Linked DNA regions of Bombyx mori. The protein of the gene in region 2 purifies or fractionates together with the protein of the main gene of each other region. This does not show direct contact. Links are inferred from orthologs where the notes say so. Each region holds a gene or a part of one and is shown on either strand. Other genes may lie near its edges.

Region 1 (3,946 bases), on a different chromosome or scaffold from region 2:
TGCAGTTTCGTACATCGCTTGCATTTGGTCAGTCGTACATAGCCCACCCGACACGGCAGACACTTGTGAATATACGGAGTTAAATTGTAATCAACTTGTTTTATTAATAAAGGGCAGTTTACACCCTTTACTCTTGCATAAGCAACCGTACAATTAGTAAGTAATGAAACTCACGTGCAAAGGCTGTTTGTACACGTCGAATATCTCGGCGCCGAGGTGCAGCGACATGCTGCCGTCCGACCACTTCACCATGCGCGCGTTGGACTCTTTAACCGCGTTGCCTTCTTTGTCGAACACCGTCCTCCATCGTATCGTGTTCTCGACTTTCAGCTTTAACCTGTTAACGCAGAGCTTAGATTTAAATAGCAAGAAAACGTGTCGCAGTCATCAACCCACAAACACAGCCCACTGAGTTTCTCGCCTGATCTTCTCAGTGGGTCGCGTTTCCGATCCGGTGGTAGATTCTGCAAAGCACTGCTCTTGCTAGGGCCAGTGTTAGCAACACTCCGGTTTGAGCCCCGTGAGCTCACCTACACGTTAGGGCGAAGCTGATATAGCCTCTCAAGGGTATCAGCATAGGAAGGACAAAAAAAAGCAGACATCAAGTGTTCAGAAGAAATAACATCGTGTTATACGAATCGAACGCACGAAGATTAATCCGTCTTAGCCTATTACAATGACAATTTTCTACTGGTGGTAGGACCTCTTGTGAGTCCGCACGGGTAGGTACCACCACCCTGACTATTTCTGCCGCGAAGCAGTAATGCGTTTCGGTTTGAAGGGTGGGGCAGCCGTTGTAACTATACTTGAGACCTTAGAACTTATAAATCTCAAGGTGGGTGGCGCATTTACGTTGTAGATGTCTTGGGCTCCAGTAACCATTTAACACCAGGTGGGCTGTGAGTTCGTCTGCCCATCTAAGCAAGAAAAAAAAATGTCAATAAGAAAAAAGAAGACAAAATTTATCGAAATGAATTTAAATCTTGTAACGTCAATGATTACGGTCGATTTTCAATCGTTGGACGAATAGAGTTACATAAACAGACTGTATAGATCTTACAAACAAATCTAGACATGATTGGTTCTAATGTATAACAGATCTGTACGACAAACTGAGGATAAGATTTCCTTATATACATATATATGTAAAAGGGGTAGTGGTCTGCTCGGGTTCATAATTCGTCAGATGCACGACTTTGTAGGCCATCGTGTGATTGTTATGCTGTACGATGCCTATTTGCGAAGTAGTCTTGAATATAACGCACTCGTGTGGGATCCTCGCGAAGCAGTTCAAAAGCTAATGCTGGAAAAACTACATAAAAAAATTTGCAGGTTCCTATTCAAGAAAATGTATGGATACTATCCGTTCTTGTATCCATCACTTTATGTGACTGGTATGGTCGGATTAGATACTCTTGAGCTCAGACGGAAGATGATTCTTATGGTGCATTATTATCAGCTATTGCATAACAAAATTGATAACTCCACTGCACTGCAATCAGTGTCGTTATATGTGCCTGATGGCTACATGCGCGGATGTATGTGTGGAGGGGCGCGTCGCCAGCGGCAGCTTCTTAGTCTACGGACGCGCGTACGCAGCACACCGCTAACTCCCCGACGCATCGTGCTGTCTCGCTACTCAATGGCTTGCTAGGCTATGCTCCGGAAATGGATATATTCCATGATGGTTTGCAGCGATTTATTGTTGTTGTTAGAAATTACTTAAGCTAATTATTAATACCTTACAAATGTTTTGGTTTATACTGTTAATTTGTAAGTAGACTAATTAAATAAATAAATAAAATCACAGCGCCATACCAATTACCCAAAGAAGCAGACATTCTTGTTAAAGCAATTTTTGCGGAAAATATCCAATCAACGTTTGGTCGTGGAATTAATTAACTTATTACTAAGGAAAGCTCAAAGGAACGGGTGCTGATTTTGACAATTTAAAAAAAAATACGATACCTGGCACGACCTTCCTCATCCAGGGTCTCCTCTTCATCGATTTCATCTTCGTACGTGTTAGGATCATAAGGCCTCGTATCGACCGACAAAAAGTTGGGTAGTTTGACAAAGTGCAATTCCTTTCCCAATTCCGTCCATATCTTGGGCATGTCCACGTCGATCCTCGTCTCCGGAACCTCGATTTCCTCTTCCTCTTCCGGCTTTTCGCGAACTTCCGGCTAAAGTGCCAAATCTTTGAGCCACTTAGCAATGACTAAAACGATGCCAAGTTGATGTGCTCTATTTGCCATATAGATGTAACATAGATGCTAAGTTGTTAATGCCTATTCGTCACATTCATGATTCATCAGAATCAAATATCAGGAAATCAACCAGAGATTAAGAGAGATTATTTTCACGAACGTAGACAGAGTGTCGAGCTCATAGATAGTCTTATGAACTGGTTACTGGAGTTCATAGGCACAAAGTAAATATTTAAGTAAAAAAGGAGGATGAACTTTCAAATTATCTTCGATGATGATTAAGAGGGGTATTTTTTTATTGAATAAGGGATTACTGATGGCCTTTCCAGTTTCACCAGGACAGGTGAGCGAGCAAAGGCTCAGCTAGGAGGTGTGGGATTAGCTAACAACCGCCTGCGCGCCTCCAAAGGAGACCTAGCAACTCAAGAGCAGCTGCTTCGCGAATAAATCTACTACCGGATTGAAATAGCGACCTGCTGAGAAGATCCGGCGAGAAACTCAGCGGGCTCATGTATAGGTTAGGTTGCTCGTAAATGGGGTCAAGGCGTCTAATGTAAGAATTATTTGATCTGATGGATCCGTAAGGACGTGAGAAGTAGGAACAGGAAAATACCAGATGTTCGATCACCTATCCCTTGATCAAAACTGATAGCATCACTCACCGAGTTGCCTATACCTGAGGAACTACAGACCGCCAAAGTCGTGTAAAATTATCAACATACAAAAAAGGTATATTATACCTCATCACCACTTCTACGATCTTCGGATCGTCTATCTTCAGACCTACTTCTCGAACGCGACCGATCGGAACGCTTGTCTTGATCTTTCTGTTCTTCGTCTTCTGTGCTTATGTCTGACGCGTCACCGAACAACGCGTCAGCGGTCACTGTCAGGAAAAATATGTTTTATTTATTATTATACTAGCTGACCCGGCAGACTTCGTAGTGCCTCAATCGATAAATAAAAGACCTAAACTTTTCTATACTTTTGTCCGACGGGGGACACATCAAAGGAAAAACAAAATTGTTATTTAATTCCAAACATTTTCATATTTATCTACCTTTTAAACCTTCTCTGGACTTCCGCAAATAATTCAAGACCAAAATTAGCCAAATCGGTCCAGCCGTTCTCGAGTTTTAGCGAGACTAACGAACAGCAATTCTTTTTTCATTTAGCTATTTATTGCACCACCACTAAAAACTATATACTTCCTCAGTATCAGTACGCTACATACATATATGCATCAACTATACATTTTAAATATATAGTAATCTTCATAAACCTTTCAGTATTATGACTATTTTGTTATGTATATGTATTTTGATATTACATTTTCAACATAAATTTACATTTATACAATGAGCAATCATATTTTTCTTTTTTTTTATTGCTTAGATGGGTGGACGAGCTCACAGCCCACCTGATGTTAAGTGGTTACTGGAGCCCATAGACATCCACAGCGTAAATGCGCCACCCATCTTGAGATATAAGTTTTAAGGTCTCAAGTTTAGTTACAACGGCTGCCCCACCCTTCAAACCGAAACGCATTACTGCTTCACGGCAGAAATAGGCAGGGTGGTGGTACCCACCCGCGCCGACTCACAAGAGGTCCTACCAACAGTAAAAAATGGACGGACGGTATCCAGCTTAGTAAAATATCTTCCCTTGGTCGTAATCCCCAAACGTGTAATATGAGATGTTTAAAACGATTCCCCATTTTCTGTTAAACAATATTA
Region 2 (3,946 bases):
ACTAAATAATAATGTTATAACAATTTTATTTGTCGTCTTACCATGAACATCTCTCTCCACGTCTCCATTTCTTGCCTCTTTTTGTTTCTGAATGTTTTCTCACAGAACTTCTGCCAGAGATGGTCCGTGTCCTCCATGAGGTAAGGATTATAATGTTCTAGTGTGAATAACTGCTGCGGAGTTGCTCTGTCTACCACAGGCTTTAATATTTCATATGGCACACCGCCTGTGTACTCCAGTGCTAAAAATATTAAGTGTTCTTAATTTCTCACTGATGACACTTTGTGTTGTTATGATATAAATTTAACTTAGGCACTTGCCCAGAAAATAGATTGACATAATATCGAATGTAAGGTTACTCGAAAATAAGGACAGGTGCTAAATGACATGATAAAATTAAAAAATCTTCGAAATGTTATACGATTTTGACAACATTTACCAGTTATGTTTTTCAGATTGTGTATTACCAAACTAATTAGGAAATACTAACTAACTTACTAAAAAAGGAAATATAAATTTCTGTAAGGTACATTTTGCTTAAGTTTCCCTTAATTATTTTCGTACACTTTATATATTAACACAGGTAAGTTGATTGATTAAACAAGTAACTAAGCGCAGTTAAATTATCGTAAGCCGTTGCAATTACTTCACAACACTGTTATTAGTAAAGCTATTGTATGGATGTCTTCACAGAATGATGTTAATCTGTGTTCTACATTTTGCAATTGAATACTAAAAATACATACCGTCAATGTGCTCTTGGAGAATGTTAACGCATATCTCATACAGAGTTGGTATTTTTCCTATGACCTTATTCCCGGAATACACTTTGGTTCTGAAAATATCAAAATCACAAACTCTTTATTCGAAATTAAGCATAATTTAAAAATATATTTTAATCGTAATATAATTCTTTTTATGTCCCATTTTCTAATTTTTTTTAACATTTTAGATTACCTTTGGTTTTTCGATGATATTCCTGCACTTAAGGCCTCCTCGTCTGTGAAATTGAACATAAATTTAGGAGGCGGTCGGGGCTTGTAGTTCGGCGATATCTCTGGTAGTGCAGATATTTCTAATGCCGGCAAAGGCGCCAATTTTGCAGTCGGAGCCAACATAGCCGCCGGACTCATCTAGAAAATATATTACAATTTCTGATTCTCATATTATAATACAGATAATTATTGTCTTTATAATCATTTGTGTACTTTTTCTGATTCTTATATTATAATACAGATAATTATTGTCTTTATAATCATTTGTGTACTTTTACAGATTCTATGTCATATTTAAAAAACGTAGTTTTAGTGGATTTCAAAATACGATATTCCAATTATTTGTTAAAGTGTACACGATTCGCATACTTACATCGTTACCGAATATGTTGTTAGGAGATATACTGTCTTTCAATTGTGACGATTTCTTTTTCGGTTTCGCTGGACTGATCATGCCCAATGCTTCAGCAAAACTCGCACCTGTTGAAATATAAGGTAGGTATGAAGGTATTCTATTTTATTCGAAGGTAAGTTTTGTGAGCGTATCTTCATTTACCTGATTCACAGTCGATGCCATCGTCACTGTCCTCGTCGGTTAAACGGGCCTTTTTCTTTGGTTCTGGTTCTTCTTTTCTTTTATTCTTACTACTTTTGTGATCCGACGAGGAACTTGACTTATGTTTAGATTTACTTTCACTACTCTTCTCTTCATTCTTTGACGATTTGCTTTCGCTCTTACTTGATTTGTGTTTATCACTTGAAGACGAATGCTTCTTATCATTACTATTGGTGCTCGATTTATCCTTAGAATTACTTTTTTCTCTTGACTTTTCCTTGCTAGAGGAACTATGTCTGTCTTTATCTTTACTACTAAATGTTTCTTTACTGCTACTTTTATCTTTTGATGATTTGTGTTTCGGAATATCTTTTTCAGACGAACTCTTATTCCTTTCTGCGCTTTTTGACTCACTGGAACTTCTGTGCTTGTCTGAATGACTGGAATGTCTTTCAGGTTTGATTTTCGGTTCTTCATTATGATGTTTTTGAGAGCTGGAACTAGACTTGTGTTTGTCTGAGCTATGATGCCTACTTGATGCCGATGAACTGTGATGACTGCTTGATGATTTGCCCGTTTTCGAATCTTTACTCTGTGAATGGTCTGAATGTTTATCTGTGTCTGATTTATGTTTTGCTTCTTTGCTGCTGCTTTCTTTTTCCTTAGAGCTTTTGTGTCTATGAGAGTGGTGTGATTTTTCATACGATGTTTCTGGCGAATGCCTGCGCTTCGACTTCGAGTTATGATGTTCGGTATGTTTGGGGTCAGCCTCGTGTTGCTTCTTTGAGCTTGAGGTTTCCCTTTTGTGGTCTACGTGGTTGTTGTGTGAAGAATGTTTTGATAGTTTGTTCTCGTCAGACCGTGTTTTATTAATTTCTTCTTTAACCTTTACTTCTTCAACAGAGGAATCCGAAGAGTCGGACTCGCTATCGTCACTTTCAGAATCGTCAGATTCGTAACTGTCGCTTTCGCTCTCATCATTTTGTTCTCGTGCATCAGAATGTTTCTTGTAATTATCATCACTATGACTTGTTTGTTTTGAACGTTTGTGGTCGGGCTCTTCTTCCTAAAATGAGATGGATATTATTAAAAAAAAATCAAGGTTTAATATCTTTTCAAAATATGTGACTTAATAGTTATAATTCTTCCATCATTTGAAAATGAACGTTATTTTTGGTGCGGTTGGTTAGCGTAGCCCGCAGATATCAAATATCGCTGATGTCAAAGGTATGCCTAATATGATGATCTTATTGAAGCCTATTCTTGGTGTACTGGAAAACCGAAGATTATAACATATGTTTTTTGTGTCAGGAAAAAAGTGCCGGACTTTCGCCTGATTATTGTGAGCCCACTTTTCTAGGGGTAGAGCATGTCGGAAAGGTAATGACTAAAATCCTCTTTCGATTACGAATCATCGCGGAGCGAATTTATCTACTAATCTGTTCCCACTTGAAGTCGAACTGGCGGGTCTTAGTGTCATGTATCTAGTCTCAAATGTAATTTAATAATAGTTGTCTAAATGTCATACATAATGTCGAATAAGAAACTAGATGGTGACTTGTTAATTACCATAGAAGTTCATAATAGGTCTATAATTCGTAATTGCTACCAAAATACTGGGATTCATATTCTGAACTGAGCCGAACCTACTATTCTTGATCTGAGGATAATAAACCGATATTAAATCGGTCAGAGGGTTATAAACAATAGTTGTCTCTGCCTCCGAATATTGGAAACCAGCCATATGGTTGCGCTCCCGGAATTGTACATGCATGGGTGGTGACCATTCTACACTAGTTAGGTTGCATGTTCGTTTGCCTTGAAGCAATAAAATAAAACTGATAAAGACTAAACGGTTCTTACGTAATGCACGTCCTATCTACCTATCATCATTAAATAAGCATTATGAGTTATACATATTTTTTTCAATATTTTACAAGTTAGTTTATGACCAATAAAAATCAAACGCAAGTCTGCATAGCAGCTAATTTGGACTGTGGATAATGTAGTGTCTTTATTCGTGTTCCTTCACACTCTTTATTTTCAGTTTTAAGTTATACGAATGTATCAAATTATATAGGCGCGTACCAATTTTTGATGTTAGAATACAACACCTTTGTATGTTATCAATGAAAATAGCGTGTTTTTTAATTTGCGTGATTTTGGTAGCAGGTAAGGTATACCTGCAGCTGGGCAATCGTGCGTTTCGGTCTGAAAGGCTGGGGAAATTCATTATATTTATCTTATTGATTTTTCGATTTTATTTCCCTAAGTGGCTCTCACGGTTGCGGTAACAATTCAACACCCGGTGTTAGTTCTACAAAAATGTGAAAATTAATGATAGCGTAGTTTTTATCAAAATACAAATAAAACGAGTTAGAAGAAAACAGACTTC

Evidence for each region. Proteins that work in one complex are often made in the same cells at the same time.
Region 1: the proteins of transcription elongation factor B polypeptide 3 (region 2) and another transcription unit protein purify together in Homo sapiens (affinity purification with mass spectrometry; 3 studies listed by BioGRID and IntAct, with this or other methods). This does not show direct contact. The link is inferred for Bombyx mori from reciprocal best matches to the Homo sapiens genes ELOA and LEO1.

The regions. Positions count from the first base shown.
Region 1 is NC_085113.1:9,404,897-9,408,842, forward strand, and holds part of another transcription unit protein, read right to left. Parts: intron 3,097-3,946; coding exon 2,951-3,096; intron 2,187-2,950; coding exon 1,969-2,186; intron 338-1,968; coding exon 175-337; intron 1-174. UniProt on the Homo sapiens protein: Component of the PAF1 complex (PAF1C) which has multiple functions during transcription by RNA polymerase II and is implicated in regulation of development and maintenance of embryonic stem cell pluripotency.
Region 2 is NC_085112.1:7,694,901-7,698,846, reverse strand, and holds part of transcription elongation factor B polypeptide 3, read right to left. Parts: intron 2,618-3,946; coding exon 1,552-2,617; intron 1,476-1,551; coding exon 1,369-1,475; intron 1,134-1,368; coding exon 958-1,133; intron 836-957; coding exon 747-835; intron 242-746; coding exon 42-241; intron 1-41. UniProt on the Homo sapiens protein: SIII, also known as elongin, is a general transcription elongation factor that increases the RNA polymerase II transcription elongation past template-encoded arresting sites.